4 linked regions of the Notamacropus eugenii genome follow. The protein of the gene in region 1 interacts with the protein of each later gene in a biochemical or structural test. Links are inferred from orthologs where the notes say so. Each region holds a gene or a part of one and is shown in the gene's direction. Other genes may lie near its edges. The genes, in order: SPI1, IRF1, IRF8 and MECP2.

Region 1 (6,984 bases):
TAGGTAAAGTGGAAGAGAAGGAAGAGGTGAGTTCATTTAACTCTGTATGTGTGTGTGTGTGTGTGTGTGTGTGTGTGTGTGTGTGTGAGTGTGTGAAGAGGAATTCTGGGCTTGCTTTATAATATTTTGGACAGGCAACCTGGCAGGGTGTCTAAGAAAGAGTGTCTTAACTTCAGTTCAAGAAGGTTTTCCTGCCTCAGCATTCAATAGCTGTGCAGCTCTGGGCCAGTCATTGTCACCTTGCTGAACCTCAGTTTCCTGATCTCTAAAATGGAGCATTTGGATGAAAAGGCCACACTCTAAATCAATCATCCTTCTCTTTGGGATCTCTTCTTTGTGTACATGGCCCGCCCCCATCTCCCACCCAGATCAGGCTCTTGGAGGCCAGGGCTGCCTTGTTCTTTACCTTTGAAAACCCAGCATCAAACAGAAAGTCTTGCCCCTGGTCAGTGCCTAACAAACAATGACACCAAGTCACATTTCTAAAGTGCTTTAAGGTTCATAAGATACTTCATTCAGGGTGACCCAAAGAAGTGGAACTAGGCAAGTATTACTGTGCCATTTTACAGATAAGAAAACTGAGGCTCTGAAAGAGTAAATGTCTGCCCGTGATCAAAGGCTGCAGAATTTGGGAGTTGGAAGGAGCCTCAGCAGCAATCTAGTTTGAGCCATACAAGAAATGAACAGTCACTGGAACCTGCGTCACAAATGTCCATTCAGCCTCTACTCAAAGATCCCCCAAGGAGAGGACAGCCCTCACCTCCCGAGGCACCCCGTCCCACTTTGGAATAGCTCTGACTTACTCTGACAACTGTGTCGGAGAAGGGATCCAGGTCTGCAGTGTCTAAGTCCTGTGCCCTACTCCCTGTGGTAGGCTAGGCTGCTGCTCATAATACTGGGTGCAGGTTCTTAGATGCTGGGCTTCCAAGGCTGGGACCTCCTGGGACATGGGCTCTAAAGTCTAGGTGCAAATGGATGTTGAATAAAAGCTTTCTGATGATGAGAAAGACATTTTGTTTCTTTCCCCTTGTCTGACTGCACGGTCCACAAGAAAAAACCACTGCTCATCCAGACAAGCTCACACGACTCATGTACATGTGTACACACACACACATGCGCCCACACACATGCACACACACACGCACACCCTTGATCCCTCCCACTCTTGCATGGCTCTTATCTGGGGGCCCACTCCCATGACAGATGAACAGAGAGCAGAGCCAGACACAAGGCTCATCATAGATTTTTAGATCCGAAAGGAACCTTAGAGGTCATAAAGGTCAGCATCTTGTATAGATGAGGAATCTGAGGACTACTGGGGGCAGAGATTTGTCTAAGATCTTGCAGATGGGTGGAGACAAAATGAGGACTAGAGCCCACGTCTTCTGACTCTCAGGCCAGGGCTCTTCTATACTGAGCTAAATCTCCTCTCCTCCTGACCCTCTGCCCCTAAACATCTCATACTGGAGTCAAAGGACCTGGGCTCAAAGTCCACCTCTGATATTCAAGCAAATCACATTATCTGGGCCTCAGCTTAAAATGAGGAAATTGTCCTAGATGTCTCCTGAGGTCCTGTCCCATGATCCTATGATCTTAAATGTGAGCCTGACTCAGGAGGGTCTTGCCAAGGGAGCCAGGAGAAAGACACTGGCCTTCTACTCAAAGGCTAATGGAGAAGGGGAGCTTGGAGTGGGACCCCTGGAGAAGCGGAGGAGGGACAATGTGCTTCCAGCATGAATGAACTGGCATTAAGTAATCTGCAGTACAGCAGATAAGAAGACTTAGAAATGGAAAAGACTTAGAGAAGAGGACAGAGAATATTAGAACTGGAGAGGACCTTAGAACACAGGATTTCAGAGCTGGGAGGGACCTTAGAACACAGAATGTCAGAGCTGGGAGAGGTCTTAGAACAGAGAATGTCAGAGCTGGGAGGGATCTTAGAACACAGAATGTCAGGGCTGGGAGAGGTCTTAGAACAGAGAATGTCAGGGCTGGGAGAGATCTTAGAACAGAGAATGTCAGAGCTGGGAGAGGTCTTAGAACAGAGAATGTCAGAGCTGGGAGAGATCTTAAAACACAGGATGTCAGGGCTGGGAGAGGTCTTAGAACAGAGAATGTCAGGGCTGGGAGAGGTCTTAGAACAGAGAATGTCAGGGCTGGGAGAGGTCTTAGAACAGAGAATGTCAGAGCTGGGAGAGATCTTAAAACACAGGATGTCAGAGCTGGGACGGACCTTAAACATCTTCCCTTCCAAGCTCTTCATCTTGCAGATGATGAGACCTAGAGAGGGAGAACAGCTACTTGGGCTCCAGCTTAAAAGAGTTTTCAAGCCAACAGAATGAATCACAGGGAAGGAAGTTTCTAGGTAGTGTTCCCCCTGAACTGATTGAAAGGCTGTCATGGAATGGAACTGGGGGAGTGGGATGTTTCTAGGGCTGGTCTGGAAACAGGGCCCCTAGGGACTTTGATGGAAAGGATGGAATATGATGCTCAGGTTGGTATACATGATGCTCAGGTTCTCTGGGTTGAGGAAAAGGAAGTTGGTAGAAATAGGATGAGGGAGAAAGCTGGCACTGATGCCTGTAATTCACCACATACCTGTGACCTAGGCTGGGGCTCGTTCCACAGAGAAGCTACTACTGCTTCCCCTTGAAAGGGCCTGGGGGGCCAAGGGCAGCATGCCCCGGGAGCCCTCATCACCGTGAAGTTCCTACTTCCTCAGCCTTCTCCCAACCTCTTGGGATGCCCTCAAGGGGCCTGCCCCTGTTAGTCTGCAAGGGGCCTTAGAACCCAGGTCTCCCTGTTCCAGGTCTTTCCCCATACTAATCCATCCTCCACTCAGATGTCAAGGTGACTTTTCTGAAGTGCTGGCTTGACCCCGAGGCCTCACCGTTACCTTCACAATCCAATCAAAGTCACCTCCTCTCTCCCTGATACTTAGAGCTGGCTCCTTACCTTGCCAGCCTTCTCACATTCCCATCCCCTGCACTCTCCCAAGGCCCTGGCCCACCTGCTTTTTGTCACCTATAACTCTGCCTCTTCAATCTTTATCCTTTTGTAGTGGCTGCCTCTCTAGCCCCTACCCTTGCCCCAAAGTCTGGAACATTCTGTCTTCTCCCCACTGCTTTTTCGATTCTATGACTTCCTTCAAAAGTCACCCCAAAGCCCCCTTCCACAGCTGACCTTTCTCATGTTGCCCAGCTGCTAACACCTTCTTTCAGATGACCTTTCAGGTGACCCAGGATATAGAACATTAGGGCTTGAAGGTACCTTAGAACACAGACTATGAGAACTGGAAGCAACCTTAGCACATACAACATAGGATGTCAGAGCTGGCAGGGGCCTTCGAGCATAGAATATCAGAGTTTAGCAGGGAAGTTTAGAACATAGAGCATCAGAACTGGACTTAGGAACATAGCATGTCAGGGACAGGGAAGGTCCTTAGAACATGGAACATGGAGTATTAAAATCAGGAGGAACTTTAGACTACAAAACTAAATGAAAACAGTGCTTGCCACATGGGAATCAGGTTGAGGTCACTTTAAGGAGATATCACAGGGGACCTGAGGGTCATTTTGCTCCAGGGAGCCATGGTGATACCAGCCATTGCCACTGCCTGCCTGGGAGGACACCAGGCCCCAGCAGGCCTTTGGTGGGGAAAGGTCCAGGTCTCCCAGGCCTGGCCTCAGCCCTCTCCTCCCCTTCCTGAACCCACCGTCCCCTTTCAGGCTTCCCCCCAGCCCCCAGAGGGCTGCCTGCTTCCTCTGAGCTGGGGGCTCTGGCCTGGTGGCCTTCCCAGGCTGGTCTCCTCCTGCCACCTGCCTCAGGGGCCAGCCAGAGACTTCCGGTAGCGCAAGAGATTTATGCAAACCCGCTAGGGTGGTGATGTCACCCTGGGGGGGACTATCTCCCAGCTACAGGCCCTTCGATAAAATCAGGAACTTGGGCTGCTTTGCAATGTCAAGGGAGGGGGCTCACGTCGGGATCAGCCAGGCCAAGGGGCAGGACTGAGGCTCCTTCGAAAACCACCCTACCCGCCCCCTCTGGGTGCCCGCCTCCCACCCCCAGCCCCACCAGCTCCGACCCTGTGGCTCCCAATGCCCAGGGGCTCCGGAGTGGGCCCTGCTGAGGCAGGGGAGCTGACGGGCCCTGAGATCGGGTGGATGTTACAGGCGTGCAAGATGGAAGGATTCCCTCTCGTGTCCCCTGTGAGTATGGGGGCTCCCTCCCCCTCCTCTTCCAGCCCCCTCTGGTTTCTAATCAGTGGGAAGCTGGTGTTTCCTCCCCGGGGGCCCTGGATGAAACAATTGGGACAGGGGTAATGGAGTGACGGTCGGAAGGTTTGCTTAGGGACTGAGGGTGGAACGAATGGAGGCCAGTGGGTGCTGAGGGCTGGATAGTGGTGGGGTCTGTGAGCTAAGGGCCCCTGCCTGCTTATTTCCAACCTGGAGCTGTGTGGGCTTGGCACCAAGACTAGACCGAGCACAGGATGGAGAGGCAAAGACTACAGAGGGTGGGGCATCCAGGGCCTGAGTCGGGGGATGCATGTGGATGGGTGAAACAGGAGCTCCTCGCAACTTTGACCAGAAAGAAGGGAATGGAAGAGAGAGTCAGGCTGAGGGAGAGGGGCAAAGGGGCACCCTTTGGGGTAGAAGTAGAAACAGGTGGCAAGTACCCAAAGCTTTGGGGCAGGGGATGGGCTAATTGGCCCTACGGTGAGGCACTATGATTCCAGGAGGCTGGTGGGGAAAGTAGGTGCTCAGGGAGGTCAAAGACAGACTGGTCCCCAAGACAAGCAGGCTGACGTGGGTATGGGCTCTCAGGGAAGCCCAGGGTGGGGGTCAGCTGTGGAATGGGATGGGGGAGGAAGGGATTGGAAGACAGACCCTTACCATGCTCCCCTGCCCTCCCGTTGGGGCATATCACCAAGTAGAGGAACCCTCTCAATGGGTCTTCATTTTCCTTCCAACCACTCCGAGAATGAGAGAAGTGGTGGAGGCATTTTGCTAGGCTCAGCCCAGCCGGTCTTCACTTGACTTGGGCTGGCTAAGCTCCTACTCAGGGTGGCGCCTATAGGCAGATCTTGGGAGTCTGAGCTTTCCCTAGAGCTGAGGCCAAGCCAGGGCTAACCCCCAGTCATCTCATCCAGCCGGAGCATTCTGGTACCCTGTCTCCTTCCCTTTGGAGATCTGGGCTCTGAGGTTTCCTTGGTCTGAGATATGGTGGGGCGGAAGACAGGATCGCCTGGGTTCTCATTCCACCCCACCCCAAACACTGCCGCCAGGCTTAGAGACTCAGGCTCTGGCTCAGTGGCAACCCTTAAAGAGCCTCCGTTTTCCCAAGCTGTTGATTTCAGGGACTCTTTGGCACAGAGGCCTTCCCCCATTCCCCTTCTGCTCCCATGTCACTTCAGCCCTTAATCTCCAGATAACTCAGTCCTGACCCACCTCACCCCCCCAGCTTCTTGGGATCTCTTGCTTTTCTCCACAACCTAGAATCTGAGGGGTTCTCAGCTAGGGAGGGGGATTTCTCCCAGGGGATTGGGAGGATACTGAGCATTTGGGACGCCTCTTCCAGGCCACATTGTTCCTGTGGCTGCCCCCAAAACTGCTTTGGTTCCCAAGCCTGGGTTACTAGTGCTTTCACCATTACCTGTCTTTGTGAATAAAGGGGGAACCCTGGCTTCTCATGGGGTAGATCTACATGGGAGAAGAACAGGCAGGGAGGGCCTGAGGGCCAGGCCTACCCAGCCCTAAGTCACATCTGGTTTAGTTCAGAGAAAACAGGAGCACAACTTTCGAGCTGGAAGGGACCTTAAGAGTCACAGAGTTCCACTCCCTCATTTTACAGATGAGGAAACTGAGGCCCAGAGAAGGGACTTACTCATCTCCATCTGTGTGATGGAAATGGACAAGTCAATTTAAGCTCTCAGCCTTGGGAGCTAATACCTAGGCCAGGTTCTGAAGGAGAAGACTAGCGTGTGTCATTTGGTGAGGAGTGGACCTGGGACGAGGTGAGGGGGGGGAGGTCTGTGATCGTGAGGATGAGGAGTGGATCTGGGAGTGATCAAGGCGTGTGACAACGTGTGTGGGTGTGAGGGGAGGGGAGTGAGAGAGGGTGGATGTTCTCCCTCAAATACTTTCTTTGGAAGTAGGTGGGGGTGCCTGAAGGCAGAGTGAACTTAACTGTGTGTGAAGGGGGAGGACAGGTGAGTGACTGTGAGACCTCATGAGAACCAGTGGGAAGGGAGGAGAGGAGTGAGGGCTGAGGGGAGGGGAAGAGAGGTAGAGGCAAGCATAGGTAGGCAGACAGACAAATAGCCAGGTAGGTAGATAGATAGATGATAGATAGATGATAGATAGATACATAGATAGATACGTAGATAGATAGATAGATTAGATAGACAGACAGATAGAATATTAATGAATCATTTATTGTAAATCAAGGCATTGTAGTAAGCTTTGAGATACAAACACAAGCAAGCCTGTTCCTTCCCTCAAGCAGCTTATCTTCTAATGGGAGAAGACACCACATAATGGGGATCCAGAATGAGGGGAACAAGGGGAGTGGAGTGGGAAAGAAGGGCTGGAAGGGACCTGAGAGGTATCAAATTAGACTCTTCAATTTACATTGGAGGAAACTGAGGCACAGGGACGTTCAGTGAATTTTCCCAGGGTCACACAGCTCTGAAGTATCTGGGGGCAGGAGATTTGAACCCAAGGAGGAGATACCATTGTTCCCCTAAGGAGCAGGCACCTACTTCTGACCTCTGCCACATGTGCTTCAGTTCTGGATTCTCTAGGCTCCTTTTAGAATTCCCCTAAGGCCATGATAGCTGGTGACCTCATCCCATACCCCGATCTGTATGAAGGTCTTTGGATCTCTGACTCTACGGGACCCCTAGTCCTGTACTCACACACACTTAAACTCTGCTTTGGGAAGCACCCTCATGTCATAGTTCCTCACCTTGCAGATGGATAGGGA
Region 2 (8,011 bases), on another chromosome or scaffold:
TAAATAAAAGGTTTTAAATGCCATTAGTCTCCTCTTGTGTGGCAAAATGCCTGCTGCTGATTCTCTTCCATCTGAGATTTACAAAGCAAGGGGTTCACTGCTCATATAAATGCTGACTGAACTCTTCCAGGTTAAATGGTAAGAGGAAGTTATCCCCTCCCCACCAGAAACTCAAGGATGCTTCCACTATCCATCTCTATAAAGGAAAAGGAAATAGGTCATCCTGTGACAATCATAGGGGAGTCTCTCTCTTAGTCATTTCTGGCAAGATTCTTACCAGAGTCCTCCTTAATAGGCTGATCCTTCACCTGGAAGATGGTCATATACCCAAAAGTCAGTGTGACTTCAGAAAGGGCTGAGGAACAGTCCATAGGGTGTACGCTGCCTGACAACTCCAGCAGAAAAGCTAGGACATAGCTGTACATAGTGTATGTCTATATGACCAACGCCTTTGATACTGTCAGTCATGAGGGCATGGGGAAGATCATGGCAAAATTTGGTTTCCCAAAGAAGTTCAGCAGTATTTACACGAGTTTCATGATAGCATGCCTGCATGGGTTCTGTATAATGGACAATCCTCTCCCACTTTCCCAGTCACCAGTGGAATAAAGCAGGACTATGTGCTTGTTCCCATGCTTTTTCATTTTCAATGATATCAGCACTTTCAACGAAGACTAAAACGTAAGGAGAGTTGGTGCATGATTTTTTATTTGCAGATGACTGTGTACTCAATGCAGCCTCTGAAGCTGAGATGCAACAGAGTATGGCTTGATTCTATGCAGCATGTGCCAGTTTGGGCCTGACAATTAACACCAACAAGTTTCTCTACCAGCCAGCACAACACCATCTATATGTAGAACCATTATGTACCAAATGTACATTCTGTACATTATGTACAGAAATTTTGACTGCTGTGGATAAGTTCATTTCCCTTCACAGTATGCTTTCTAGAGATGTACACATAGATGATGAGGTTGACACACATACTGCCAGTGCTCAGTGCTGGAGAGGCTCTGAAGGAAAATGCGAGAGAAAAGAATTAGGTTTCCTGGAAATCCAAAGGTCTACAAAACTGTTGTGCTGACCTCATTGTTGTATATCTCTGAAACCTGGACAGTATGCCAGTGCCATGCCAGGAAACTGAATAACTTCCATTTGAATTAGGAAGATTCTCAAGATCACCTGGCAGGACAAGGTACCCAATACTGAGGTCCTTTCTTGAACTGAACTGCCAAGCATTCAAACTCTACTGCAGAGGACAACTCTGATGGGCTGTCCATGTTGTCTGAATGCCAAACATTGGTTTTCCTAAAAGACTATTTCACAAAGAATTCACACAAGGTCATAAGAAGCAATACAAGGCCACCCTCAAAGTCTCTTTGAAGAACTTTGGACTTTATTATGAGACATGGGAGACACTAGAATATAGGACCACCCAGCATGGAGTGCCCTCATCAAATAAGGTGCTGCACTCTATGAGCAAAGCAGAATTGCAATAACTCAAAGGAAATATACTTGTGCAAATTTGGAGACATCTCCACTCCAAATATTCATATGAACTATTTGTACCCAACCTCTGGTAGAGCCTTGCAAGCTCTTACTTGTCTGATCGGCCACAGTCAGACGTATGGTACCTTGACTCTGACATAGTGATGTCATTTTGATTCTCTTTGAGCATGAAGGAAAACAATCAACCAGGACCGGATACCATTGATCTACTCTCTCCCCTCCCATTTTACAGATGAGGAAATTGAGGCCCAGAGAGGTTAAATTACTTGCCAAAAGTTATGCAGGGTACAAATAACAGAACTGGGACTCAAATACAATCTGACTTGGGTCCATGACTTGAAATACAGTCCTCTTTCAAATCAGGAATTTGCTGGTAACAATTGGTTGGGCTGAGGAGAAAAGGGGCAGGAAATACATACAGGACTCACTTTTAAGTTTAATCTACATTTTCTAACTCTAGACAATCAACAAAACAATAAAACAAGCCCTAATTTGTAGTGTTGGAAATGCTCATACTGAAATTTTAACAATAGGCTCTCACTAGACCTGTTGGAGCTAATTCCAGAACATCCTTTGTTTTCACCACACCAGACAGGTGAGAGAGACCACACAGACCTGGCTTTAATAATGCTGGCTCAGTGAAGTAAAAACGTGCTGCAAAGGAAGGACAAAACTGATAGAGTGATACATGGAAAAGGGGGAAAATATCTATTTCTGGCCACAAATTGTAACAGTCTGGAGGAACAATGAGGGACAGATAAGTTAAGTCTCTGGGACTAACTATTAATCAGCAGCAAATCCTCGGGAGTTTGAAGGGCTTAGGTTAGCTGGGGTCATCTGAATGCAAGGTCAAACTCAAGGTATCAGGAAGTCAAATACCACAGAGATTAATTGTGTGACAGCAACATCATTGGCCTGAAATTTGATCCAGGTTAATGGGTTATAACTTGGCTCAATTACTAGTCCCTCTGAGGTGACACCAAGTAATAAAAAAGAGAAGCCTTGGTTCCTCCTCATCCAGTCTCATCTCATAGGAACATAGATATAGAATTGGAAAGAAACTTTGGGGCTATCTAGTCCAACTCTTTCATTTTACAGATGAGAAAACTGAGACCTACAGAGCTGAAGTGACTTCCTGAAGATCACAATAGTGGTTACAGAGGTAGGATTTGAATGTACATCTTCTGACACCAAATCCAGTGCCCTTTTCCACTGTACCACACTAAGATCCACTCGTGGATATCCAGGCACCTGAAGCCCTCCAGTATACTCTCCATGCCATACATATCTTTGTATACACATGCTTCAATCTTTTCTTTTTTACCTCTGAAGTTACAAGAGCTTTCTCCCTCTGGGGATGGCCCCTAGGGCCAACACAGTACATCTTCAGGTCTGTTAGAGGCTTATGCTTCTCCCCTTGACAAAGGATCTACAAGGGAGGCTGTTCCACAATTTCATTCAACATTCAACAAGCACAGTGCTAAGTGCTGGGTACCCAAAGACAAAAATGAAACAATCCCTACCCCTCTGTTGGAGGAAAATAATATATACTGAGATAAAGAATTATAAAATATATGTAAAATAAATATACAGTAATTTGAGTGAGGCAGGAAGGACCACTTGAACTGAGGATTAAGGGAAGAAATTGTCAGGTACAGGGGTACACCTGGGCAGGGACAAGGAGGGAAGGGTAATGGAACGCTGTGTGCTAGGAACAACAAGAAGACCAGTTTAGCTGAGAAGCAGAGGGTATGAAGGAGATTGATGGGCAGTAAGTTTGGAAAAAGGTAAGGTTGGAGATAGAATGTGAAGTGTTTGAAATATCAAAAGGAGAAATCAACCCCCTGCTGTCTCCGAGACACACTTTACTCAGTCAGGGGGCTGATTATGAGTTTCCTCATTCAAGTGTGAGCTCCTTGAGAGTAGGAACTGTCTTTTGCCCCTTTTTTACCCCGATCATTTAGCACAGTGTTTGGCACGTACTGTGAACAGGTAGGTGGCTCAGTGGATAGAGCCTAGGCCTGGAATCAGGAAGACTCATCCTCCTGAGGTGAAATCTGGCCTCAGACACTTACTAGCTGTGTGACACCAGGCAAATCACGTAAGCCTGTTTGCCTCAGTTTCTTCTGTAAAATGAGCTGGGGAAGGAAATGGCAAACCACTTTAGTATCTTTACCAAGAAAACCTCAAATGGGATCAAGAAAAGTTGAACACAGCAGCAAGTGGCACATGGTAGGTGCTTAATAAATGTTTATTGATTGATCTCTGGTGCTTATCACAGTGTCCAGCACACTGTAAGCATATAATAAATGTTTATTGACTGAATGGAAGTTGGAAGGAGTGCTAAAGGAGAAAGATGGGGGAGGGGAATCTGACATCTCCCTCAAACAGATTACTGTTTTACTCTGGATTTGTACTGAACTGCAAAGTGGATTCATCCTGCTTCCGCCTCTCCAACACCCACATCACTAGGGATGGAGGAGTTCAGTACACTGAAGCCGATTCTATAGCTGAGAGACATTGTGATGGAGAACAGGCTGCCTGTAGAGTTCACATCTAGTGTTCTGCGATTCACGGAAACGCCTTCCTCACAACAATCTGTAATATAGGCAGGGTAACAACACCAGGACTGAAGTTTTGTACTTTCAAGTTTAATTTGATTGATTGATAGACAGACAAACATAGATCGATCGATCTGCCATCCAACTCTAACACTATATGGAATCAGGGGGCAAGGTGAGAAGTAGAAACTCCTGGTACAATGGCTTCTGTGGCCCCTGAAGGTGGCAGATACCACATTCCAGAGAAAGGTGAGTCTCTGGCACCCTCCCCCTGGGGCAACACCCCTGACTGCTGTCTCACCTTGGTCGGGAAAGTGCTGAGAAAAGATGACAAGAGAATTGTGTAGAAGTGCAGGATTCCAAAGTCTGGGGTGAAAATGAAGAATGCTGAGCAGGGTTTTCCTGGGGGCCTCTCGCCACCTTTTCCCTAAGGGCAGGCAGCTGGAAGCTCGCATCCCTGAGGGTGTCTCTCTCCCGGGCACGCCAGACTGCCTGTTGGGGGTGTGTCCGTAGCCCGCGGAGGCGGTGAGAGGGGGAGAGAGGGAGGAAGGCAGAGAGAGATGTAGCAAGCGAGCTGGGGAGGGAAAGAGGAGCTGGACTTCCCCCCTAGCCTCTAGCGCTACAACGGCCTGATTTCCCCGAAATGATGCTCTCTGCTCAGCCAATCAGCGGCGGCGCGGCTCCTCATTGGGCGGGGACCGGCTCTGCCCAGAGCGGGGGAATCCCGCTCAATGTTTAGTCTTCGCGGCCGGCTCCAGGACCGAGGCTCAGAGCGAAAGGCGCCGTCCAAGAGGTAGGAGGCCGAGAGCGAGACCGGAGCAGAATCCGTGCCACCGACTCTGCTGACTCTCCGCGGCCGGGCACCCCTGGAGCAGGGCCGGCGGGCTCCCAGATTACCCTTCGCCGCCTGAAGCCCCTGGAGCTGTCCCGCGGGAGGCGACAGCGGGCCCAGAGCTAGGCGGGCGAACACTGGGGACCAGGCGAGCTCCAGCTTTCCGAGCCAGACTTCTGCAGCGGCGGCGTGGGCCCCTGACCCAGGTAACCGGGGCCTCGAGCTCGCGATCTTCTCTGGGAGAGCTGGGCCTCAGCCCGACCGTGTCCGCAGCCCCATCCCTCCTCCCTCGCCCCTGGAAGGAGCGCTGGGACAGAAAGTAGCAGATCGGTGGAGGTCTGTGGCTGGGGGCTGACCCGTTGGGGAGGGGGAGGGGCGCGCTCCCAGCTAGGCGCCCCTGTCATTGCCTCTGCTCGAGCCTCGGGCGTCTCTTTCCGCACACCAGGAAGTAAAGACCATTAAAAAAAAAAAGACAGGAGAGCAGAGCCGGGGTCCGCGCTGCCGCAGAGCCGAGTTGTAACGTGTGGTCGGGGCTGCTGTGGATGCACCGTGCTCGCAGGGCTGGGTGCCGAGCCGGGCTGGGTGCTGAGCCGGGCTGGGTGCCGAGCCGCGCAGGGGGCTGAGCCGGGCTGGGTGCCGAGCCGCGCAGGGGGCTGAGCCGGGCTGGGTGCTGAGCCGCGCTGGGTGCCGAGCCGGGCTGGGTGCTGAGCCGGGCTGGGTGCCGAGCCGGGCTGGGGGCTGAGCCCCGAGCCGGGCTGGGTGCCGAGCCGCGCAGGGGGCTGAGCCGGGCTGGGGGCTGAGCCCCGAGCCGGGCTGGGTGCCGAGCCGCGCAGGGGGCTGAGCCGGGCTGGGGGCTGAGCCGGGCTGGGTGCTGAGCCGCGCTGGGTGCCGAGCCGGGCTGGGTGCCGAGCCGGGCTGGGTGCTGAGCCGCGCTGGGTGCCGAGCCGGGCTGGGTGCTGAGCCGGGCTGGGTGCCGAGCCGCGCAGGGGGCTGAGCCGGGCTGGGTGCCGAGCCGCGCAGGGGGCTGAGCCGGGCTGGGTGCCGAGCCGCGCAGGGGGCTGAGCCGGGCTGGGGGCTGAGCCCCGAGCCGGGCTGGGTGCTGAGCCGCGCTGGGTGCCGAGCCGCGCTGCTGCTCGCCTCTGCTCTGCCTGAGGAGCTTGGCCTTGGGAGGGCGTTTGAGGACAAGCAGCCCGGAGGGAGGGGGTGCTAGCTGCCCACGGAGAGGAAAGGCCGGGACGCGCTGACCCTCCCTCCACCCAACCATTTCCCTTCCCAAGTCCTCAGGCCAGAAAGCCTTGGGCTTTTGGTCCCTGATCCTGGGATCATTTGGCCCCGGCCGAAGAGTGGTGATATCTGGCCGCTTCTCAGAGCAGACGCCGCTGTGAAACTACCCAACCCCAGGAGCACTGGGTCATTACCCCAGGGCACCCAGAGGGTATTAGGAACCACTGGGAGCCTGTGTTGCACGTGCCCCCAAGAGGCCAACCGAGGGCCCGCCTGCCCATCCCCCTGATTCTGGGAAGAATGGCCCAGTTGCTGACTAGTCTACAACTTTCAGAAAACCCAGCTCAAAGCCACCTGTCCCCGCGAAGCAAGTGTATAGGCTCAAACTCCCGTGACCCCATGCCAGGACGCTGGGGGCACATTGTCCTTGCAGGGAAAGGTCTGGGGGACTAGTTGCTCGACGAACTGTAGCCCCAAAACAGCCGTGGGAGGGGCTTCCTGGAGGAAGCAGGGAAGGTTAATTCGCTGGGAGGCCGAGCTCCTCCTTAGAACAGGGGGGGTGTGGGGGGATAGGGGTTGCAGAGACTGGATAGTTAACGCTCTGCAGGATGGCAGGCAGATCAAGAAAGCTGCTTTTTGAGCAGTTGCAGCAGTTTAGTAAATGTTGAAGTCTTCCCTCTCAAAATAGGGAGGAAAATCTCTGGCTGCCCAAAGTGATTAGTTTGGTTAATAACACAGTGGAGAGAGGGTGGACTGTTCATCTCTGTGCTGATAATTCATAGCTGGAGATACTTTTCTTGGCAACAGGTGGCCTAGAAAATGAAGGCCCCGCCTTTACAAAGAATTTTCTATCAGTGAAAAAAGACAGGCTGGGCATTTGAACATAAAAGTGGCTCTTAATCTCGTGTTCTACAAAATTCTCAATTTATTTCCTGCCCTTCTTTGGCTCACATGCCTTTGGGCTGTTTGTGAGAAGGGAAGAACTTAGAACTAGAAATGTTTGTGCACTGTGTTAAGGATGCCCTCTTGCCTTAACTGTCTTCACTATGCATGCATCAGCCTTGTAGCTGCATATGTGTCTCCCTGTGTTTGTGGGATGGAGGTGGATGCGTAGAGCAGTTATTTCCTTCAGCACTTAAACCTCAGCCTTTCTCTTGGCTTCACAGACAACATGCCCATTGCCAGAATGCGCATGAGACCCTGGCTAGAGATGCAGATTAATTCCAACCAAATCCCAGGCCTGACCTGGATTAACAAGGTGAGAGCCCCACCTGGTTTTTTTTCATGTTTTATGAACTAAAGATCCAAATGGAACTGGGAGAGGAAAGAGTTTAGGAGGCAGAAGAATGTGCTTTTCCAGGCCCGATTGTGTATGGAGTATGCTATAAGTGTGCAAGGCACTTTTCTTGACTTTTAGGACGCAAGGGCACTCCCATCTCCCCTGTTTTAGCAGACAAGACCCACGTCTATGAGTAACCAACAACTTCCAATGGTGCCCATTTCCAGCGTTCTGAGCTCCTCAAACTGGCCTTAGCCACTGCAGAATCCCATCCTTGATGCCAGAGATAGACAAAGAACACTTTCTGACTGAGAGTTATAAGGAATAAACAGCCAGCCAGAAGTGATTCTACCTTTAGGACCAGGAATGAGCCTTTAATCAGTTACTTAGCTCTTTCCTAATGCAGGAGAATAATAATAACTTGTATATTCCTTTCTGGACCTGTGATGAAATTCCCTCTACAACACAAGTCAGCAATTGGTGCAGTTTACATAATCTTTAATTTAAGGGAGCTTCCTGGGACATTAGGGGATTACAAGATCTAGTCAGGATCTCACAACCAGAGGGAATACTTGCACATAGATTGTCCTGGGTTCCCTCCCACCT
Region 3 (7,432 bases), on another chromosome or scaffold:
GTATGAATTTGTCACTGTTCAGTCTCCTCCATTAGACTGTAATCTCCTTGAGAATAAGAATTGTATTTTGTCTTTCACTGTATCCCCTGTCCTTAGCACAATGCCTGGTACATTTTATTTTTGAATAATTTCAGTTATGTCCAACTGTTCATGACCCCATTTGAGGTTTTCTTGGCAAAGACACTGGAGTGGTTTGCCATTTTCTTCTCCAACTCTTTAGGCAGATGAGGAAACTGAGTTTAAGTGACGCCCAGGGTTACACAACTAGGAAATGTCTGAGGCTGGATTTGAACTCAGGTCCTCCTGACTGTGGGGTCAGTGCTCTATCCACTGTGTCACCTAGCTGCCTTTAGAACACAGTAGGTGCTTAATAAATATGTATTAACTGACTGTGTTACTTTTGCTAGTTATTTACATTTTAAGTATTTCCTCTTGCTGAGGAAAAGATAGTTATCTCTTCTATTAAAGTTTTTCAAGGATGGAGAAAGATGTCCCAAGGTTCTAACACATATTAAGTACATAGCTTCCACTTTAAGTCATGTATAGAGTTCTCCACTCATGCTTATATCCCACATTGACCTTACAACATTCAGGGTGAATGTACAATAGTGGTCTATGGCTTGAAAGTCCCTAAGATACAGGACAGAGGATTTTTCTGCAGAAGCTAGAGTCTCAGAATGTGTTGTCTCTCCTCGCGTTCCCAAGATTCCCTTTAGTATTCTTAGGAATAGAAAAGGAGGGAAAAAACACGAAAGAACGGAAACTTTAGGGGATTATTGTTTAGGCAATCAATCAGTCCTCAGTGATTTAATGGTTCACTGCATGAAGAGAGTTGGATTACAGAGGGTTCTGAGGACACAGTGCCAATAATGTCACAGCTAATCTTCTATATCAATTAGACAGACCAGGGTTGGGGAAGCTGCAGCCTCAAGGCCACGTGTGGACCTCTCGATTCTCAAGTGTGGCCCTTTGACTGAATCCAAGCTTGACAGAACAAATCCACCTCGTAAAAGAATTTATTCTGTAAAAGTTGGACTCAGTCAAAAGGCTGCACCCAAGGACCTAGGCCATATGTGACTTCAAGGGTGAAGGGTCCCCATCCCTGGACTAGACAAAGAAAGGGCAGATGAGGGTAAGAGACCCTGGAAAGCTAGAGCCTTCTTTGGAGAGTTTGATCAGGAAGATGGGGAGGTTAGCATATGATAATTCACTGAAAAAATGAAAGTGAAGGATGAGAAGTCTTAGATGGGACATAATCACACTATTCAAAGATCTGACCATGTGTCATGTGAATGAATGAAGGGATGACTGATAGAGGGAAGGCCAGCTTGGTGGTATAGTGGATAGAGTGATAGACTTAGAGTTAGCAAGACTAGAGTTTGAATCCTGATTTAAGACCTTACTAGATGTGCCACTCTGGGTAAGTCATTTAACTTCTCTCAGCCTTAGTTTCATCACCTGTAAAATGGGGATGATAATAATAGCACCTACCTCCCAACATTATTTTAAGGATCAAATGAGGTATGCAAAATGTCTCAAAACTTAAAACAGCTTATAAATGCTAGTTATGATGATGATGGTGAGAATGCTTTTGTTCCACGTATTCCAATGGGAAGGAAAACTGGGACCCATGGGCACAAGTTATAGGTTAATAGAACATTCTAATTATCAGAGCTACCTAAAAATGAACAATGCTTCTTGAGGAAGTGAGTTCTTCCTTATCAAAGGTGCTTGAGAAGAGGATGGGTGACCACATATGGGAGATTCTCTATTTCAAATATAGAATCTTATACTCCAAGTTCTATGAAATAGAGACAAGAAAGATAAGCTGGATTGGAAGCAGTTTCTAAGGCTTACAGAGAGGTTCAGGCATAGATGAGGCGTAGGCTCTTGGGGAGAGGAATAAGAGATGGCTCCCAGCTTCCCCTGATTCTTGCCTTTTAATGTGCCTCTAGAACATATGTAATATGAATGTGCCATGGTAGCCAAAAGAGTAAGTGAACTCTTAGGTTAACCAAGAGAGATGCAGTGTTCAGCACAAGAGACTGGATTGCTTAGTGGGAGGCTGATCAGACCACAGCTGAAGTGTTGTGCTTAGTTCTGGGTCAAGGCTAGCTGTTGCTCCTGTTGAGATTTTCTTTCGAAATTAAAAAAAATGAAAAAAAAAGAAATTAAAAAAATGAAAAGACATAGTAAAATATATGCATATTTAAGTAACTGACATTTATTTATAAGAAAGATAATTGTAATGAGGATAAATAAATACTGCAGATTACCCTAAAGAACAGAGGTAGTAAAGGCAGGGCATAGTAGTATACATCTTTAATTTGATCATATGATCTAGGCTGTGCTGCTTACTCATTGAGTATAAGTCATTTCATCTTAGTTGAAGCCTCTGTTTTCTCATTGGTAAACCTCAGGTAAGAATGCCTGAACTCCCCAACTCATGGATTACTGTGAAGAAAATAATCCTTCATAAATATGAAAGCTCCATATAAATGTCGACTATTATTGTTGTATTTCTTGGCCTCAGTTTCCTCATCCTTAGACTAAAGGATTTGTACCAGATAATAATAAAATTTGTTTAAATCACTTTAATTTGTCTCGGGAATAAGACCTCTGAGGGTTAATTGGGTCACAACTTCGTTAAAACAACGTAGAAGTATTTTTCCCACCAGGCTTGCAGCATTACTTTCTGGAGTTCAAGCTGGGATCATGGTAATTAAAGAGGTTAGAGGTACCACTTATTGATGTAAAGTATTTTGAATATATGCTTGATGGTCATAGTGCCTTCATTTTTCTCAATTCAATTCAATTTAATTCAATTCAGCAAGCATCCCACCATGTGCAAAATGCTAGCATCTAATTTTATGGGACCAGCTATGATGTTGTCCTTTAAGGACAAGCCTAGCTAAGCAAAAAGAAACTCATTACCAGGACCTTGGCCACTGGTTGATTTGGGGGTGGGAAGGGGGACAACGGATCATAAAGACCATCTACTAAGCCATGGAGAGATTACAATCATAAAAATGGCAAATCCAGTATCTTTGCCAAGAAAACCCCAACACAAAGAGTCATATATGACTAAAAACTACTGAACAATGACAATTTTCAAGAGATTGATGACTTTTACAGTGTTGGTACCCCCTCCACTACTAGAGACTGTAATCTGATAGGTATAGTGTGGTACCTCAGAATCCTTTTGATTTGCATCTCTCTAATCAACAGAGATTTAGAGCATTTTTTTCATATGACTATAGACAGCTTTAATTTCTTCCTCTGAAAACGGCCTGTTCTTATTCTTTGACCATTTATCAGTTGGGGAATGAATTGTATTTTTATAAATTTGACTCAGTTCTCTCTATATTTTAGAAATGAGGCTTTTACGAGAGACACTGGTTGTAAAAATTGTTTCCCAGCATCCTACTTCCCTCCTGATCTTGGTTGCACTGGCTTTGTGTGTGCAAAAAGTTTTCAATTTAATGTCAGTATTGCTACCCCTGTTGCTGGTTTTTTTTTTTTTACTTCAGCTAGGGCATAATATATTCTGCCTCAGCCTTTTATTTTTACTCTACATATTTCCTTTTGCTTCAAATGTGGTTCTTTTAAACAACATATTGTATAGAATTATGTTTCTTAATCCACTCTGCTATCTGTTTCTGTTTTATGGGAGAATTCATGCCATTGATATTCACAGCTGTGATTACTCTCTGTGTCTTTCTCAGAAAAGGTTTCTTGAAGAAGGTGGGATTTGGGCCCAACTTGAAAGAAGTCAGGAAACCAGAAGGTTGAAGATGAGGAGGGAGAGAATACCAGTCCTGTTTGAAAAGCCAATAAAATAGCTGCCAAATGAATGGTACATAGAGTTAATGATATAAGGGTTTAGCTTTTAGTTTTAAAGTAAGTTCTTAGGATAACTCTTCTATTTTATATTGCCCAAATTTCTTTCTGTTTATCCCTTCTTCTCCCTCTTCCCAGAGAGCTGTCTCATATCATGAATAATTTTTTAAATTAAAAAAAAGAAGAATAAAAGGGAAATAACAAGTAAAACCAATCACTAGATTGAAAAAGTCTTGAAATGCACATAATATTCTGGATCTTTGGACCTTGCACCTCTGCAGAGGAGTGGGAGGGTGTGTCTTCTCATATCTCTTTTTTGTGTCCATGCTTGTTCTTTGTAATTTTGCAACATTCACTTTCGGCTGGTCTGTCATTGTTGCTGTTTCCATAGACGTTGTTGTAATTGTTTCACTTATTATTTTCTTGGCTCCACTTAACTTCACTCTACATAACTTCTCGGAAGTCTTCCCATGACCCTCCTGGCTGTACTTCTAAGTCATGGTACTTGCCTTAGCATGGAACTTTGCTCGTTGCATGGGGTCTTCTCCCTCTGGAATATCCATCCGCTCTTGAAGTCTTCTCACCAACATCATCCATCCTTTACCTCATTGGTGAGTTCCTCCAGAGACCTCCGTTTTGCGGACAGTCCCAGTCTGCCCAATCTGCATTCCCCTTCCAGCTGTCCTTCTGGCTCTTCAGACTTTAACTCCATGCCTCAGATTCAATCTCACCCTGAAATCTGCCGTTTTCAGCTCCATTTTCTGTGTTATCTTTCTCCGTTAGAATGTAAGCTATTTGAGGACAGGAACTGTTTTCTTCTTGCTTATATTTGTAGCCCCTGCACATAGTATAGTATCTGGCATATAGTCATCACTTAGTAAATATTTATTACTTTACCCTGTCTCATCATGCTTCTCTATATTCATCATATTTGTGATTTCTTATTGTTGAGTACTTTTTCAGTCCTGGCTGACTCTCCCTGACCCCATTTGGGGTTTTATTGGCAAATTCTGGAGTGGTTTTCCCTTTCCTCATTTTACAAATGAGGAAACTGAGGCAAACAGGATGAAGTGACTGTTTCAGGGTTACATAGCTAATAAGTGTCTGAGGTCGGATTTGAACTCATGAAGTTGAGTCTTCCTGACTCCAGGTCTGACACTCTACCCACTCAGCCAATTTTTAAAAATAAATTTATTTTTAGTTTTCAACATTCACTTTCATAAGTTTTAAATTTTCTCCCTCTCCTTTCCCCTCCCCAAGATGATATGCAATCTGATATAATCTGTCAGTTTTTTACAGCGCATTAATATATTCCATTACATTCATGTAACATGATATGGTTAGCCATTACCTAATTGATGGGCACCTACTTTCTTTCCATTTTTTTGCAACCGCAAAAGTGTTGCTATACATATGCTGATGTATATGAATGTTTTCTTCTTGTCAATGACCTCTTTGGGGTAAAACAGTAATGCGATAGTAGTTTGGGAGAGGGTAACATCACTTCAGGCTGGAGTGCTTAGGTGATGAGTCCTGAAAAATGAGTTTGGTTTAAATAGGCAGGAAGGAGAAAGGGCATTTTATTTGGATTCAACAGCCTAAGCAAAGACTGGAAAACATGAGGGTTTCTATTTTGAGGGAACAGGGAAGAGGGCAATGCAAGTGGAGAGGTAAGGTTTATATAAAGGAGAAGGGGATCAGGCTGGAAACAGATCCCAGAGGGTCTTGAAGGCCAGGATAAAGAAGTTGGATCTTGTTGTATAGTGAATGGGCAGCCATAAGAGATCTTTTTTTTTTTTTTTTTTGAAAGGGAGGGTTATTCAGCATTGACTTGGAACAAAATGTCTAGGAGAGAAGGCTGTGAGAAGGCTCATGACTTTGAGGGATTTCCCAAGCAGCTCTGAGCTGATCATGTTTCTATTTTTATGTCCTTAGTTTTGGCTTAAAAGAGATTTTGAAATGCTTTTTTCAGGATCTGGTTCAGTTGTGGAAGAGATCTGTATGGCAAAAATCCTAGTGGCTGCTGCCAGCCTGCTTTAGCTGTTTAGGAGCTGAGTTGCAAGGATAGTTGATGTGGGAGGAGAGGAAACTGACCTGAGAGAATAAGGGATAGATTTAATTTATGTTTTTTTCTGGCAGATGGCTGAAGAGAGGAGAAACTGAATTTAATAACAGGGGAAGGAGAAAGGGTAATTGGTTTAAAATTTTTATTTAATATCCTAGGAAGAGGACAAGGCGGAACGATTCTAGCAGTGGGAAAAGAGATAGAGGCTTTGACTGTAGCAGTGGGAAGAGATTGAGAGTGTCCTTGAGAAAGTAGCAATAGAAAATAGAAAAGAGCAATCGAGCTAGACATAGTTGTTTCAGATGCCTTCTCAGAATCCCAGCATAACACAGAAGTCAAGCAGAAGTCTGCAGGTTTCCCTCAATTGTTAGGGGTGCATATTGATGGATATCTCTCAGGCTCTTATCTATGTATGTCTGCATAGTGGACTAGTAGATTTAGAAACAGAAGACCTATATTTGAATATTCTTTTGGAGGCAATCAGGGCTAAGTAACTTGCCCAAGGTCAGACAGCTAGTAAGTGTCTGAGGCTGGATTTGAACTCAGGTCCTCCTGACTTCAGAGGCGGTGCTCTATGCACTTTGTCCCCAGTATTTGAATCTTAACTCTGCTAGCTTCCAGCTGAGTGATGTTGATAATTTGCTCAATTTTTCTGGGTTTCAGTTTCCCCTTCTAAAGATTAGATTAGAAGTAGGTGATCTCCAAGGTCTCTCCCAGTTCTAAGTCCTGTGAACCTGGAGTCTTTCTTCTCCTACCTGTCACTGTTGTTTGTCTTCTGTTCTTGAAGAAAACCATGATATTAGGGATGTGATGCCCTGGAATGCAAGTGAATGAGCTTACAATCCAAAGATCTGAGTTTGAGTGTTGGCTTTGCTGCTAATCCATCTTGGAGACTCACGTTCTTCATCTGTAAAATGGGGACAAAGCCAGCTTCCCTATGTATCTTCTGATTTGTTGTGAGAATCAAATTTTTATATCTGTCTGTCTATTTATCTGTCTGTCTATCTATCTATCTATCTATCTATCTATCTATCTATCTATCTATCTATTTATCTATCATCTGTCTGAATCAATTTGTCACTGAATAGTGAGAAGCCCTCTAATGTGATGTTCTTGTTTTATATAAGTATATATATGTATATATGTACATATATATACCCATATTAGAGCAGTGGAGACTGAGAAACATGGAAGGACTTGGGGTTCTCTCTGACTTCCTGGGTTTTTTCTATTTTGGTGGCCAGCTAGGTGTGGTGGATAGAACATTGGGCAAATAGTCAAGAAAACCTGAATTTCAATCTTGCTACTTACTAGTTGTGTGACCTTGAACAAGTTACTTAACTTCTCCCTGCCTCAGTTTCCTCATCTGTAAAATGAGCTGGAGAAGGAAACAGCAAACCACTCCAGTGTCTTTGCCAAGAAAACCCCAGATGGGACTAAGAAATGAATACAACTGAACAACAGCTCATTATGTATCTTGTTTGTACAATTTTTTACATGTTGTCTTCTCCATTAGATTGTGAACTC
Region 4 (7,444 bases), on another chromosome or scaffold:
ACAATTCCAAAAGACTTGTGATAGAAAATGTTATCAACATCCAGAAAAAGAACTATGGAGTCTGAATGCAGATCGAAGCAGACTATTTGCACTGTTTTTCATGGCTTTTCCCTTTTCTTCTGTTTCTTTTTTTACAACATGACTAATGTGGAAATATGTTTAACATGATTGCACATGTATAACCTATATCAGACTGCTTGGCATCTTGGGAAGGGGAGATGGTAGGGAGGGAGAAAAATTTGGAACTCACAATCTTATACAAAATGAATGTTGAAAACTTTTCATATGTAATTGGAAAAAATGAAATACTATTTGCTAAAAAATTTTTTTAAAGAAATAATGAGCAGGTTGATTTTAGAAAACATGGAAAGACATGCATGAAATAATGAAGGGTAAAATGAACAGAACCAGAGAATGTTGTATACAGTAACAGCAACATTATTTGAAGAACAACTATGAAGGACTAAGTTGTTCTGAGTATTATATATACTCAAATCAACTCTAAAGGGCCTATGAAGGAAAATGCTATCCACCTCCACAGAAAGAACTAATAGAAGCATGAATAGTATGGTTTTACATATACATCTTAGTTAAATGGTGTCCTCTAGTTTGGGGTGGAGAGGGAAGGAGACAATTCAGAACTTAAAATGTAACAAAAAAATTTATATGAAATTAAAAACAAAAATAAGGTAATAAAACATCTGGGGGAAAAAAGAAATAAGTGCAAAGATTGTATGAGTTCAATGACAGTCACTTCCATAAGTCTGACCCCAAATCTCTCTCTCTCTCTGTCTCTCTTTCCACCTTCGTTCTCTCTGTCTCTGTTTCTCTATATCTGTCTCTGTCTCTCTCACCCTACTCTCTCTGTCTCTGTCTCTCTCTGTGTCTCTGACTCCTCCATCTCTCTGTCTCTGTGTGTCTCTCTCTGTCTCTGTCTCCCTCCCTCCAATCTGTTGCCAAAACCTTTTTATTTTACTTACCTAACATCCATCCCCTTTTCTTCTCTGCCACTTCTACCACCCTGGTGCAGACCCTCATCACCTCACACTTGGACAACTGCAATAGCCAGTTGGTGGGTCTGTCTGCCTAAAGTACAGGTCTGACCATGTCACTTCTCAACAAACTCCAGTGTCTCCTGGATCCAACAGAAATTCCTCTCTGGCTTATAAAGCCCTCCTAACCTGTAATCCCTTCCTTTCCAGTCTTCTTTCACCTTTCTCCCAATTGTGAACTCTTAGGTCCAGCGATACAGAAAGCCTTTCTTGATCCTCTTTCATTTTAGTGCCTTCTCTTTTGATTATTTCTTTTTTCATCTTAGATATGGTTTGTTTGCTTGTCTCCCCCATTAAATTGTGAGCTCCTAGAGGGTAGGGCATCTTTTGCCTTAGTCAGGACTGGATAGTCAATAAACATTTACTAATCATTCACTATATGCCAGGCCCAGTGAAAATCCAAGAGGATACAAAGAAAGGCAAAAGACAGCCCCTACCCTCAAAGGGCTTACAACCTAGGGAGGGAAGCCAGCAAATACAAGTATATTCAAAGAAATAAGGGACTATATTGGTGATTTCATTGGTATATGGCAGTTGTTTTTAAGTGTTGTCCAGGAACTTCTAGGAGGTCCTTTTCAGGGGGTCTGCAAGGTCAAAATCTTTTCATCATACTAAAGTGCTTTAATTTCTAACATAAATAACAACAGAAATAACCCACATAAACAAAAGCTCTTTGGGAGCATCTTCAATAATTTTTAAGCGGGTAAAGAGGGCCTGAGACTAAAATGTTTGAGAACCACCTGTATAGGTAACTCCAGGGTGAGGAAACTCCTTCTAGCAATGCAGATTGGAACTTTCTTTGCAAATAAATTACAGAGTTTTCTAGAACACTAAGAGGTCATGTGACACATGGGGGGGGCAGTCACACAGCCATCATGTGTCAGAGCAGGGGCTTGAAGTCAAGCGTCTCTGGCTCTGAGGCTCGCTCTCCATCCTCTACACCATGTTGCCTCTTGTTATATTCAAAATAGATACAAGATACTTTTTAAAAATTATCAAGCACTTATTTTCTCTTCTACCCTCACCTCACTCCACAGTGGGGAAAAAAAACAAAAAGAACAACCAAACTGTTGTAACAATACAGAGTCCCCAAAGTCTTAGTGCAGTATCAACAGCTTAAAATTTTACTAAGACTTTGGAGGACACCATGTATGCATAGACAAGCTAAACAAATTTTCACCCTGGTGACATCTACAAATATCTCTTTGGTTGTTTCTAATATAAGATGCCATTTGGAATTGGAGGGATCAGCAGTGATCTCCTTACTGATTTTCCTAACTCCAAGCTATCCACGATACCATCTAGCTGCCCTGTAATGTTCCCGCTAGTATTATTTTTTAACGTGGGGGGGAAAGCCCAGGGATGGCCTATTTCCTATGGATGTTACCAAATGTAAAATACAGTGTAATTTGGGAAGTGTGGACCTGAAAACTGTAGAGAAAAGGCAACAGGGTAAATGCATATATTTTATGATTTAATTAATTAAACAATTCCCTATTAAAGATAACAGTTACATAGCATTACAGAGTCAGAGGTTAATCTGACTACCTGGTACAGAAATCGTCTGTCTTAAATACACTTTGCCGTGAGAAAGGAACTTTCTTAGTTGAACAAATCATAAATTTAGTAAGACAATTAACAAAGTAGTGTCAGTTATGATCCCAAGCTGTGTAACTTCCTCTCTGTAACATATGTCTCTGTGACATAAGATAAGGAGAAAATCCCACCACTCTGATGGCAGGCCTCCTGCTGACACATGAAAGGGCACCTTTAAGAAAGTTTCAATTGAAATTACAACCCAAGACATCTGTGTTTTTCCTTATCACTAAGATGCCAGGAAAAGGGTCTCCTAAGGAAATTACTGTCAGCCCCATCTGCTTTGCTGACACCAAAAGGCATTCTCTGAGTTTACTTAAGATAACAAAGGTCCAGACTCTTCTTAATTCAAGCTTTGGCCCTTATTAAAGTCCAAAATTTATATTAAATATTATCAGAAGTCAGGAAGACCTGCATTCAAATGTTGCCTGACTAGTTGTGTGACCCTGACAAATCACTTAGCCTAGTTGAGATAATAGTTAAATGCAGTGAGAATCAAATGAGAAAAAATATGTGGTGTTTTGCAAACCTTAAAGCTCTATAGAAATCTAAGCTATTGTTAATTAGGAAATGGAACTTGAGCTGAGCTTTGAAAGGATCGAGGGGTTCCAAGATGGGAAGGTGTGGGAAAAGAGATCGTGATCAGTCGGCCAGTATGGGAATGTCATTGGCAAGCAAGTGTAAATTGGCTGTGGAAACTGCATCCTAGAAAAACATACCATATGATCCATGGTGTAAGGCTGTCGTATCAGCTCACGTTTATGTAGCACTTACTATGTATAGACCAGGCACTTGTGCTAAGGGCTTTACAATTATCTCATACCAAGTTTGGGAGATCGGTGCTATAGTTATCATCCCCACTCTACACATGAGGAAAATGAGACTAAGTGACTTACCCAAGGTCACACAGCTAAGAAGCATCTGACTCCAAACTCAGTGCTCTGTCCGCTAGTTGCCCCACTAACATTGAGGTCGAAAAGAGGAGTCTTTGTGCATGCTATCCTGGTCCTGTGACCAAAGCCCACCTCCTGCATAAATGCAGTTGATGTGGCCTGTTTCTTTTGGCCGCGTTTATATGAACCTGCAGTGGTGCGAAGTGGGGCCGAGGAAGGGGAGGGTACCCTGAAGCCATATCCTTGTTCTAGAGGTTGCCTTCCCTAAAGGTACGGATAGACTTAAATGAATGGGTTTAAAGTGTGTGTCAGACGGCTATACGTGCAAGTACGTGTGTATGTGACTGGTGGACATTAGCCGGTTTATAAAAGGGACAAATGCATAATCCTAATATGCTTCAGCAGAGAAAACAGCAGAGCGGATGCTTAAAAGCGTTAATATTCAAATCTCAACCGCTAGACCATCCCAAATGTCCTGCCACGCCCACTTTCCTGAACCGACAGCTAAGAACGCCCAATTGGCGCAGTCCCATTAAATTACCATTATCCAATCAACAGTCAGAAAGGGCTTCCTCTCTCTTCCACCTGGGCGATAATTGACAGAAACTTCCGCCAATTCATGGAGCTGCTATCAGGACTCCAGCCTCCTTCGCTTATTCCGTAGCCAATCATGCACGAGTTTTCAGAATGACGTCTCCACCATCCAATCACAAAGGAGCATGGGTGGAGCCGCCCAGCCCCAGAAAGAAGGGACGGGATAGTGGTGGGTAAGGGAACTGAGGGAAGCTAGAGGGATAGAGAGGGCGTGGCCTGGCTGAGACGTGGAGCGGCGCGCGCGCTCCCAGGTTGTCGGCGGCGCGCGCGCACCCTCCTCATCAAGAGTCCTGTGGTAAAAGCCGTTCGGAAAATGGCCGCCGCCGCCGCGCTGAGCGGAGGAGGAGGAGGCGAGGAGGACAGACTGTGAGTGGCGCCGCTGTGGCCGCGGGCGGGGGCCCCTCCGCGGAGAGGAGGCAGCGCGGGCGGGGGCCACGGGGTCGGGGAGGCGAGCCGGGCCGGGCTGGTGGATGGCGTCCCTCCTTCCCTCCCCCCTCCCTCGCTCTTGCTCCCCCCTCCTTGGAGCCCGGGGCCCTCCGTCGGTGCCACCCCGCCTCTCGCGGCGGCCGGCCTCCCGGCGCGCGTCCCAGCGCGCGCACGCCCTCCCACCCGCTTGCTTGGCCCTGGTTAGGCGCTCGTGCGCTCCGGCCCGCTGCTGGTGGGCCTCGAGCGCCGTGCCGCGCCGCGCAGTCCTCTGCTCTCGCGCCGTGGCCGCGCGCTCCTGCCTGGCCTATCTGCCCGCCCCCTCCCTGCCCAGCTCGAACTCGTGCACGCCCGCTGTCGCGCGCTCGCTCCTCCATCCATCCTCCCCTTCCCCCCATCACCTCCCCATCCCCTCTTTTCTCTTCCCCCCACCCCCGTTGTCTCTTATCCCCCTATTTCTTCTCCCCATCCCCCTATTTCCTTCCCCCCTCTGTTTTTTCTCCCCACCCCCCCCATTTCTCCCCCATTTCTCTGACTTTCCCCCTCCCCCCCCGCCACTTTGGCCCCTCCCCTCCTGCGCCTGCGTACTAGTCCTACTCCCCGGCGAAAGAGTGCGCCACAGCAGCCCCATCTCCCTCCCTCCCTCCCTCTCCTTCCCCTCCTCTTGCCTCTTCTGCTGCCCTGTTAACTCCCTATTTTTTTTTCGTCCCCAACATCTTTGCCAGTCCCCACAGGACTATCAGTTCTCCTCCTCCCCTCCCCCGTGGCAGGAAGAGGGAGATGGGAATTACTGCCTACCCCATAGGGAGGAGTGTACATTGTGTCCCCTCTGTCCCACACAGCCTTTTCTAATAGAAGCAGTTCGGGAAGTGTCACCAATTCTGATACTTGCAGCCGAGGAGGCTCTTTGGTGAAGAGCCTCACGTTGTGCCTCTCATCATCTTGGGGGATGTCTGAATTTGTGGCTGTTGGAGTATGGTATGCACACCTCACATCCTTCCCCCACCACCCAAAATCTTCCAGTTACATAAAAGTGATGGGCCATACTCTGGAGCCCTGAGTTCGAATTGTTCATTTGGAGCAAAGTCACAGGCAGGACAATGGGTGTCTGGTTTAGTGGTTTCTTCAGTCTGATGTACTCTACCTTTAGTTCTTTCATCTTTATTTTGTTCCTAGTTTAGTTTTGAATGACTCCCCAAACTGAAACTCATTTCAAATTTCCGAAGTGTAAGTAGCAATCAAGACCTTCATATGTGACACTTGGCCCAACTGATTGTAAACTTTCAAGTTCTTAGCAAAACTAGGTGACTTTGGCCTGGTTTTAGGTTTCAGTACAAAGTGTACAGCTTTCCACTGAAGACTTAAGGAGATTGGGAAGAATCTGAAAAGATTTATCTCATCCCAGAGACCATTTATGAAATTAATATATACAGATACTGTAGGAAAAATAATTGCTCTAAAATGCAAATAAAATTCAAACCAGTTTTTTTCTTTCACCTAATATGTCAACTGCTTTTAAGATTAGGTATGTAAGAGTGTAGCTTGTTCACAACAAATATACATCATTACAAAGGAGACATTCTTGACTTTTGTTCCATAGAACGTGTGCAGACAGTTTTTTTTATTTGTATATTTTTACTAGTGGAAATTGGTTATGCTGAACCATACACACCCCTTGTGACTGGTAGCATGCATGGGTGAGACAGCTGGGTTCTGTAAGAACTGAGGGCTATGGCTGTGGAACTAAACTTGCTCTGTCTTAAGCATACTGACCTAGACTTTCTAACAGAGGAACTTTATAAGATTTATGGATTTAGTTAAGCTATGAAAATGAAATATAACCTTGCCCCTATGGCTCATTAAATTAAACATTTATAAGGCAGCTAATGCCCTCAATGAGAACTATAGTACTGGCATAGTGTGAAGCTTTCATTTGGATCCCTACGTTCTGGTAAATTCAACAAATCAAATTCCTAGTCTTTCAAAATATGCTACGACCCAGTTAAAACAAAAAAAAGACAGGGTGGTTTTTTGTTTGTTTTTTACCCCTGATCTTAATTCCTGGTCAAGCAAGCCTAGTAATTCATACTGTGAACCTTTTGAAACTTTCAAAACCAAAAAACCAAGCTAGAAGTAAAAGTGTCACTCTTCTTGTGCTCTCGGTGTTTTGTTTTTTTATCAATCCTGTCGGTTTAAAAGCTGGAAGAAGAGACCTTAGAGATCAGTTAATGTTATGGATGAGAATGCTGAAAAGATCAGACACATAAGGAGGAGATTTGAACTCAATTTCTCCAACTCCAGACTCTTTCTACAATACTAAGCCGACAAGTAGCCTAACCACTGTTTTGTTGTTTTTGGTTAGGATGTGTGGTTTCATTTCTGTGGGAAACGCCTGGTATGGAAACGTGGTCTGTAATTTCTAGTCTTAGAGAGTTGCCGGTGCCACTGACAGGGTAAGTGACTTGCCAAGGGTCACACAGCCTGCATGTGTCAGGAGCAGGACTTGAACCCAGGGCTTCCTGACTTTAGGGCTTGTATTTTATCCACTAGACCATGCTGCTTATAAGTGTAGATAAATACATACAAACATATCAAAGTGGGCATTGTTGTACAAGTTAGAGGTATGTCTAACTTAAGAAATGGAGAAAGTAGATCCATGAGCAGCAACCTCCTTGACAGTCATCTGTTCTTCACACCCCTGGTCCTTTAAATAGAATAAATATAAACCTCATCTAGGGAGGGGTTTCTTTGAAAAATACATTTAACTGAATTAGTGGTGTAAATTAGACATCAGAGTTCTGAGTGTCCTGATAGCTCAGAGAAATGCCACTTCCTGATTTCTTTGCTAGTGTCAGCTTGTCACATCTCTGAGATTATAATACAAGT

Evidence for each region.
Region 2: the proteins of SPI1 (region 1) and IRF1 form a complex in vitro, tested with the Homo sapiens proteins (2 studies listed by BioGRID). The link is inferred for Notamacropus eugenii from reciprocal best matches to the Homo sapiens genes SPI1 and IRF1.
Region 3: the proteins of SPI1 (region 1) and IRF8 form a complex in vitro, tested with the Homo sapiens proteins (3 studies listed by BioGRID). The link is inferred for Notamacropus eugenii from reciprocal best matches to the Homo sapiens genes SPI1 and IRF8.
Region 4: the proteins of SPI1 (region 1) and MECP2 form a complex in vitro, tested with the Homo sapiens proteins (2 studies listed by BioGRID). The link is inferred for Notamacropus eugenii from reciprocal best matches to the Homo sapiens genes SPI1 and MECP2.

The regions. Positions count from the first base shown.
Region 1 is NC_092877.1:3,612,816-3,619,799, forward strand, and holds the start of SPI1 (transcription factor PU.1), read left to right. Parts: upstream 1-3,943; 5' UTR 3,944-4,097; coding exon 4,098-4,208; intron 4,209-6,984. UniProt on the Homo sapiens protein: Pioneer transcription factor, which controls hematopoietic cell fate by decompacting stem cell heterochromatin and allowing other transcription factors to enter otherwise inaccessible genomic sites.
Region 2 is NC_092872.1:344,799,642-344,807,652, forward strand, and holds the start of IRF1 (interferon regulatory factor 1), read left to right. Parts: upstream 1-4,968; 5' UTR 4,969-5,108; intron 5,109-7,292; 5' UTR 7,293-7,297; coding exon 7,298-7,384; intron 7,385-8,011. UniProt on the Homo sapiens protein: Transcriptional regulator which displays a remarkable functional diversity in the regulation of cellular responses.
Region 3 is NC_092872.1:700,494,273-700,501,704, forward strand, and holds the start of IRF8 (interferon regulatory factor 8), read left to right. Parts: upstream 1-4,340; 5' UTR 4,341-4,451; intron 4,452-7,432. UniProt on the Homo sapiens protein: Transcription factor that specifically binds to the upstream regulatory region of type I interferon (IFN) and IFN-inducible MHC class I genes (the interferon consensus sequence (ICS)). Can both act as a transcriptional activator or repressor.
Region 4 is NC_092879.1:23,083,890-23,091,333, reverse strand, and holds the start of MECP2 (methyl-CpG-binding protein 2), read left to right. Parts: upstream 1-4,375; 5' UTR 4,376-4,448; coding exon 4,449-4,501; intron 4,502-7,444. UniProt on the Homo sapiens protein: Chromosomal protein that binds to methylated DNA. It can bind specifically to a single methyl-CpG pair. It is not influenced by sequences flanking the methyl-CpGs.